2 linked regions of the Mus musculus genome follow. The protein of the gene in region 2 purifies or fractionates together with the protein of the main gene of each other region. This does not show direct contact. Links are inferred from orthologs where the notes say so. Each region holds a gene or a part of one and is shown on either strand. Other genes may lie near its edges.

Region 1 (3,810 bases), on a different chromosome or scaffold from region 2:
CATTATAAGCCCTGTGTAGTGGATCTTCAACTTTTCATCAGGATGCAGAAAAAATTGCTCCCAAATTCATTTTGCTTAGGACAGAGTCAAACAAAAAGCCAAACCGACTTATCCTGAAACTGTATTTTCCCTTCCATACACGAGTCCTTAAATTATATAGGGTTTAAATAATACAACATTGCTATCACAGAAGCACATTCTACACCTTCAACCTGAGGAGGCAGCAAGGTGACTGTGTTTCTGCACCACCCTCCTGTTAGGCCATAATAGATCACTGAAAACCAAAACCACCCTCAAACCATGGCAAAGCCCAGGTACTCACCAGCTGGCCAGCCAGCAGCGGCATGTACTCAATGATAGCCAGGCGGACCCTCCACTTGGCATCTTCAGCCAGTTCCACTATGGCCGGAAGGAGAGACTGAGAGAGCTGACGGATTCCAATCACTTCATTCACACAATCCAAATTGGAGATGATATTTAAACGAACTTCTGGACACTATAAACACACAAGCCCCAGAGACTACATGTGAAAATTAACTCTTTTGCCCAGTAGTCTCCTGGCATGAGAAAATAAAAAGTGCTAAGTAGAATTTCAAATTAAAAAGTACTAATCTGGGTGGTGGCGCACACCTTTAAACCCAGCACTTGGGCAGTGGAGGCAGGCAGATCTCTTGAGTTCAAGACCAGCCTGGTCTACAACGTGAGTTCCAGGACAGCCAGGGATACACAGATAGACTCCCATCTTAAAAAAAAACAAAAAAACAAAAACAAACAAACCAAAAAAAACAAGAAAGAAAGAAAAAGAGAGGAAGGAAGGAAGGAAGGAAAAAAGGAAAAGGAAAAGGAAAAGGAAAGGGAAAGGGAAAGGGAAAGGGAAAGGGAAAGGGAAAGGGAAAGGGAAAGGGAAAGGGAAAGGGAAAGGGAAAGGGAAAGGGAAAGGGAAAGGGAAAGAAAAAGAAAAGAAAAGAAAAGAAAAGAAAAGAAAAGAAAAGAAAAGAAAAGAAAAGGCTCAGGCTTTAAAAGGTGGGGGTAAGCTGTGGTGTGGCTGGGTAGGAAAGGCATTCGTCCATCCTGCAGAGCCCTGGACTCAACCACCAGAACTATAGAAAAGCTACTGCAGAAGGAAATCCTTAACACTAAGTGCACAGATACAATGTCACTGACCTTAGCCACACGTCAGTAAAAAGCCTGTACCATCCATCTACGGGAGATTGTACACTAAGTTAAAAAATCAATTAACAAATTGGCAGGCGAGATGGCTGAGCAGAAAGAGGGGCTTCCCTCACAAACCTAGCAGCCAGGATCCGATCCCCAGAACATGAGTTATCCCCAGAACATCCAACATAAAGTGGATGGAGAGAACGGACTCCACAGAGACAGCCTCTGAACTCTGTATGTGCACACAGTGTACGCTCGCTCACATAATAATAAAGATTTTCAGACTTTTAATTAATAAGTAAGCACAGAGTCTATGAGATGTAAAGGGCCCAGGCCCTGGGACTCAGCTCTGCCACTGCAGGGAGACCGCAGACATCTTACTCCCTGGTCTCTCCTTCCTCTACACCGGGAGGAACCAAGCCCAGAGCCCACTGCAGCAGTTACAGTTAATGACATATCCAAAGCTCTCAGACCATGCCTGGCACTACCTGTTACATTTTTATCCGAATGTATGTATTGTCTGTGTAACGTGCACATGTGCCCGTGTGTGTGTGTGTGTGTGTGTGTGTGTGTGTGTGTGTGTGTGTGTGTGTGTGTGTGTGTGCCCACAAAGGCCAGCAAGGGACCAGACCCTCTGGAGATGGAGTTATGAACAGTTGAGGGCCACTCAACATGGCCACCAGAACTGGAGCTCTAGTCCTCTACAAGCGACAGGCCTCCTAACTGCTGAGCCAAATCTCCAGCCACTAAATGTTAGTATCTGAAGCTACACTTTAAACTTAAATAAAAAGACACAGTTTAAGCAAAGATATATGAGCTTTAAATATAAGGAATCAGTGACTATAATATAAAACATTTAATAGGCATTTCTTGGATGGTTTTAAGACTTATTTCATGACTGTTTTGCATGAACATGTTTATGCACTATTTGTGTGCCTGGTGCCTGCGGGTGACCACAGAGGCATCAGATCCCTGAACTAGAGCCACTGACAGTTGAGGAACCCATGTGGGTTCTGGGAACCAAACCAAGAATGAGCCAGTGCTGTTTGCTACGAGGCTCCCTCCCTCTCCAGCTCCTCTTTTTTGGTTGTTTGGTTGATTCTGGTTTTAGAGACAGGGTTTCTCTGGGTAACCCTGACTGTCCTGGAACTTGACCTATGGACCAGGCTGGCCTTGAACTCAGAGATCCCCCTGCCTCAGCCTTCAGAGTGCTGGGATTAAAGGCATGCTCCACCACACCCAGTTGGTTTGTTTTTAGTTAGTCCTTGTGCCCATTTTTGGGGAAACCTGTAGCCCTACACCCAAACAGAAGGACTGTCAAATATCTAGACTATGATTTTCCCCATCTTTACACTTTGGGTCCTATTTTAGTAAAATCACCAAACCAAAGCTTTACAGTCCCTTTAGTCCCAGCACTTGGGAGACAGAGAGAGGCAGATGGATCTCTAAGTGCAAGGCCAGCCTGGTCTACAAAGCGACAAGTTCCAGGACAGCCAGGGCTACACAAAGAAATCCTGTCTCAGAAAACCCAAAAGAAAAAAAAAGAAACAAAATCATATCAAATCAATTATATCAAAGCAAAAGGATTCATACCCAGACTCACCTCGTCCTTTAACTGAGCTAAAAATAGAGGCAGAAGATGTTCAATGGTATTCTCTTTGCCCAAAACTGTAGATAATCCCATAATTACAGAAGCTAGCGCTGACTTGACATGTTGGTTGGTATCAGACACTAATTCCTAAAAGAGAATAAAAATTAAAGACAACAAAAGCCTCTACAGCACCTCCCGAGGAGTCCACAGCAGCACCAGCCAACAGCACAGCTGACCTGGCCGTCTGTAGTAACAGCTATGCGCCCACAAGCTCTACAGTGCAACGCGCACAAATCAACTCTAAACATTTGCACTAATGTTATTATGTATTTGATTAATTTATGCCTCTTCCTTCTTTAGATGCTAAGAGCTTCGTAGGTAGAGTAAACAAAATAAAATGAAGTCACATTCACCTTTATATAGGGCAGGATTTGATTCATAATTACAGTCTCTCTACCTTCAGCGGGCAGGTTCTCACAAAGCTCTGAAACAGAAACAGAAAAGGCAATGCTGTCAAGGAGCCAAAGACAATTACCCAGCTCTTCCCAACAGTCCAAGTTAAGTCAGTCTGAGCAAATAAAGTGTGGAGGGGCAGTAAGCCTGGTCCACACAGCACAGCCTGGAGGCCCTCCTGACCTAACCTATGGGACAGTCTGACGGTGCCACCTGCCATGCTGGTGCCATCCGTCTGCAGCATCTTATAAATCAAAACCATGCCAAACTTCCTAACACAACAAATGCATCAGCGTGGGCGGAAATGCTGCTGCGTGGACTCATCTCTCCCTGGTTTATGTTTTCGGTCCTAACCAAACCAAACTATAGCGAGCTGACACCACCAAAGTCAAAGGACCCCACGGCCAGTCTCACCTCTTACTTTGTGGGCAGCGGCTGCTCGGACTTCAGCTTCGCAGTCTCGGAGGAGGCTCTGGAAGGCGGGGATGAGGTCGCTGAGTGCAATCTTAGGGCCCACCGCTTTCTGGAGCTAGAAAACAATTTATACAGGTTTACTGTATACTAGCATAATAGTAAAAACAGAAAATAGTACAATCATCAAAAGCATG
Region 2 (3,910 bases):
ATAAACTATGCCACATAAAAGTCACCTGACTTCAATCTGAAACCATTCACCTCTGCAACTTTTGGAGAGCAGTTTCACAGGCCAAGATGACCTGTTCCGGTCTTGTCCCTGGGACCACAGGCCTCCAGATGTTCTCAATGGTCATGAGTCAAGCCAGACACTTCCAGAAGAGACAGGGTGGAGGAGCAAACAAGAAGCAGGACAGGACATCTGAGGAGCGCCTGCTAGTGAGGAGTGTGGGTGGAGTGAACAGACGTCTTTAAAAGAAAGTGAAAGCCCATGGTTTATTAGACACTGAACGAGTTGCTTTGAGTCTAATATAAAATGCTAATGTCAAATCTCTAAGAATAAATCCCACAGTCTTCACGCTCTCCTACTTCCCTGTCTACCTACAATGATGGCACATTTAAACTGTGATCAGGGGAAAGAAGGCAGCAGACTGAAGCTTTGAGGATAAGGAACAGTTTTATGGAAAGCTGGGCTTTGATTGCAATGCTTGCCAATAATTTCAGAATTTGGGAAGTAGAAGCAGCAGGATCAAGAATTCAAGGCCAAAGTTGGGCACAGCAGTTTATGCCTTTAACCCCGGAGGTCAGCCTGGTGCACAAAACCAGGGCTGTTCTACAGAAAAATCCTGTCTCAGAAACAAACAGTTCAATGCCAGCCTCAGCTATATAGGGAGTTTGAGGCCAATCTGAGGTACATGAAATTCTGTTTCAAAAAACAAAAATAAACTGTAAGTGGGTGGATGAGACTGCTTAGCAGGTAAAGCCATTCGCTGTCAAGCCTGATGGCCATCCCTGGGACTCACGTGGTAAAAAGAACCAACTCTGCTAAGTTGTCCTCTAACCTCCACACGTGCAGGAGCACGAACAGGCAGGCCTATGCTCACCACACACACACACACACACACACACACACACACACACACACACACACACACAGTGTGTGTTTGAAATCCCAGGACTTGGCTGGATGGGACAACATCAAAAAACAAAGTCTGGAGAAGTGACTTTAAAGAGCAGTGTGGGAAGAGAAAACACTACTCAGTTAAAAAAAGAAAACCGCCACTACTGTAGCGCTTCAGGAGACCCCATGACAAATAAGTTCCTCTTGCTCAACAACAAGAGGTGGAGATCCAGGGCTGACCGACGTCTACCTGGCCAGAGATTGGACTGGACAGACTAGCACACCTACGACCACAAACAGGGTATCCAGAGCACTCGGTGCTCCATCCCGTCCTGAGTCCAGTCCAGCATGGGCCCCCGGAGACTGATAACCCTGCATGGTTCTCCTTCCACCTTATACGGGTGCCAGGGAGATAGATGAAAGACCCTTTATATTGCATGGGCTCCCACATTAGTGTCTGGGACCTGATTTACCCCACAGGGCCTCAAGATCAACTGCCATGCCCCCCTATCTCTCTCCTTTCACAAAAATGGACCTCACCTCACCCCGTGGTACCAACTCCTAGCGGAATCCCGGGGTCGCTGCCTAGTGTCTACAGTCCTTTTTCTTCACTCCGTACAGACGCTAGTGAGACATGCATTTAAGATCGTTATACACCCCAGACTCCAAAGACCTGTGGCCGCATCTTCCTTACATGGCTCGATACCTCTGCCCCGGCCTTACCTTCTTACAGACCCTCGAGGCCGGCGTCCACGGTCGTCTCCCCATAGCCTCCCGAGGCTGGCCTCCATGGCCATCTGTGCCCACCGACCCCTGAGGCCGGCGTCATGGCCATCATCCCCATAGCCTCCCAAGGCTAGCGTCCACCGCCGTCTCCCCAACAGATCCCCGAAGCGGGACTCAGCCGCAGTCTCTCCCCAGCCCCGCGTCCGCAGCCGTCTCCCTACGGACACCCCTCCCTCTCTTCAGCCGCTGGCCGGCCGAGGGTCTCCCGGGACAACGCCGGTCAGGCGGGCAAAGGCGGCCGCGTCCGGACCGGCGGCTGAGCGAGCATGACCTTGCGGGGCTCGGGGGTTGGGGTGGGGTGTCGGTCGGGCCTCACCTTCCGCCACGTCCTCGTCGACAGCGCCCTTCACCTGCGAGAAGCACCACTGGAAGTCGTTGCCGCCCGCCGGGCAGCCGCCGCCTCCAGCTCCTGCAACAGAGCGCGCCGTCAGGCCGGCCCCGCCCCGCCCCACCACCGTCCAGTCCGCCCGCCCGCCCCGCTCGCTCGCTCGCGCACGGCCCTCACCTGCCATGGCGCGGGCGGGACGCGCCCAGCCGAGCGCGGCCGACCGAGGCGCTCCGAGCGCTCAGCCCCGGCCGCCACCGCCGCCGCCGCTGCCGCCACCGTCGCCGCCGCCGGGGAGGGAATTTTTTCCCCTTTTCAAAATGGCGCCCAATGCCCGTCGCCCCGCCGGATGACGTCATCCCCCTCCGCCTCCTCCGACGGTCAGTGCCGCGGGGGCTGCCGGGGGCGCACCGTGCGCCGACTGCGTCTGCGCGAGCTGTCTTGAGGTTGGACCTACGTAGCCGCTGCGGTCCAAGGAGAGGAGTGTCTTGGACTAGTCCGCTGGCAGATAGAGGCGGCCTTCTCGAGTCGTGTCAAGGCTAGGACGCGACGCCCTCTACGTTCTTAAGGCCTCAGACTTTCTTCTGCGGCCGGCTGGACTGGATGCTCGAAGGCCTGGGCCTTTCCTACAGCTGAGCCAACGGGAACGCGGAACCTCCGTGGATCTGCCAATAGAGAGCGCTCGGCCGTGGGCAGGCGGGGCCTCTGATCCCCGGAGCACCTGGAACCCAGCACCTGCGTGCGTAATTTTGCCCATCATCCAGGCTCTCTTGCCCCCAGAATCTTTGATCGTAGCTTCTGAGCACTGATCTCATCAGAGTGCTACTTCAGGGATTCTTTGAGCTCTCAGTATAGCCCCTAGGGAACCGTTCTCGACATTTGCTTTATTTGTGGGTGTGTTTTTCTAGCATGAAGAGGAATTATTTGTTCGTGGGCTTGACTTATCCGAAATCACTATGAAGTTGGCAGTGAGCGTACTGCACCACTAGAGGGCAGTTGTTCCAAACCAGAGCATTCTCCACTTCAAAAATGTTTTGCCTTTTAGCAAGTGCTTTTTCTATTCTCAGTCTTGGCTGGGATGCTGCTTGTGTAGAGGTGATGTGTCTGTCCTGGTGGAGTTTACTCTTCAGCGGAGAAGAGACAATAAGAAAAACCTGGGGAAAGTTAAGTGGACTAGAGTTAAATACAACACAGAAGCAGGGGAAGGAGATTGGAGCAGTTGGTATCTTTAGGAGAGCAATTAGAGGAGATAAGAAAGAATCTCAGGCTGACGTCTTGGGCGGCTGCTAGAAATGAGAACAGCTAGTGCACAGGCTGGGCCACCCTGACCTTTTCTTTCCGATGTTTTATTTTTAATTCAATTGCACACACACACTTTGATTAGGGTCTTGCCATGTAACATGAGGCTGGTCTCTAAATTGAAATACGTCTGGTTCCACCTCGTTGGCGCTGGGTTTACAAGCACGGAGCACACCTAAGCTTGCTAATGTGTTTAAAGGGCAGCAAGAAGCTGTGGGGAGAACAGAAGTGGCCAAGGAAGGCTAGTCATAGCAGTGGAGGCAAGGTGGTCCGGGACAGAGCAGGAAGCTGTTTTCAGGGGGTGAACTCTGATGAGAGGGCTGGCTATGGCCAAGAGCTGGAGAAAGTCATGAAGAAATAGGGCCTTCCATCAGTAGCAGCACTCAGGGTTGTTTCTGAAAGAACTGTCTCTGAGTTAAGTAGGAGGATAAAATGAGCTGCATGTGTCTGGGTGTATGAGAGTAATGGAGAAGAATAAGAGACATGGAGTAGTGAGGATATAGGAATGTCACCCAGATGACACTCCAGAGCATCAGGAGAGTTAAGAGCATATGTATAGTTCTGGGAGGACGTTTTGGGAGGAGCCTGAGG

What was found.
Region 1: the proteins of Ppp2r2d (region 2) and Ppp2r1b purify together in Homo sapiens (affinity purification with mass spectrometry; 4 studies listed by BioGRID and IntAct, counting the BioPlex papers as one, with this or other methods). This does not show direct contact. The link is inferred for Mus musculus from reciprocal best matches to the Homo sapiens genes PPP2R2D and PPP2R1B.

Annotation. Positions count from the first base shown.
Region 1 is NC_000075.6:50,866,749-50,870,558, reverse strand, and holds part of Ppp2r1b (serine/threonine-protein phosphatase 2A 65 kDa regulatory subunit A beta isoform), read right to left. Parts: intron 3,732-3,810; coding exon 3,617-3,731; intron 3,234-3,616; coding exon 3,163-3,233; intron 2,897-3,162; coding exon 2,762-2,896; intron 497-2,761; coding exon 323-496; intron 1-322. UniProt on the Homo sapiens protein: The PR65 subunit of protein phosphatase 2A serves as a scaffolding molecule to coordinate the assembly of the catalytic subunit and a variable regulatory B subunit.
Region 2 is NC_000073.6:138,844,806-138,848,715, reverse strand, and holds the start of Ppp2r2d (serine/threonine-protein phosphatase 2A 55 kDa regulatory subunit B delta isoform), read right to left. Parts: upstream 2,331-3,910; 5' UTR 2,208-2,330; coding exon 2,201-2,207; intron 2,106-2,200; exon of another isoform or gene 2,105-2,105; coding exon 2,012-2,104; intron 258-2,011; exon of another isoform or gene 51-257; intron 1-50. UniProt on the Homo sapiens protein: Substrate-recognition subunit of protein phosphatase 2A (PP2A) that plays a key role in cell cycle by controlling mitosis entry and exit. Involved in chromosome clustering during late mitosis by mediating dephosphorylation of MKI67.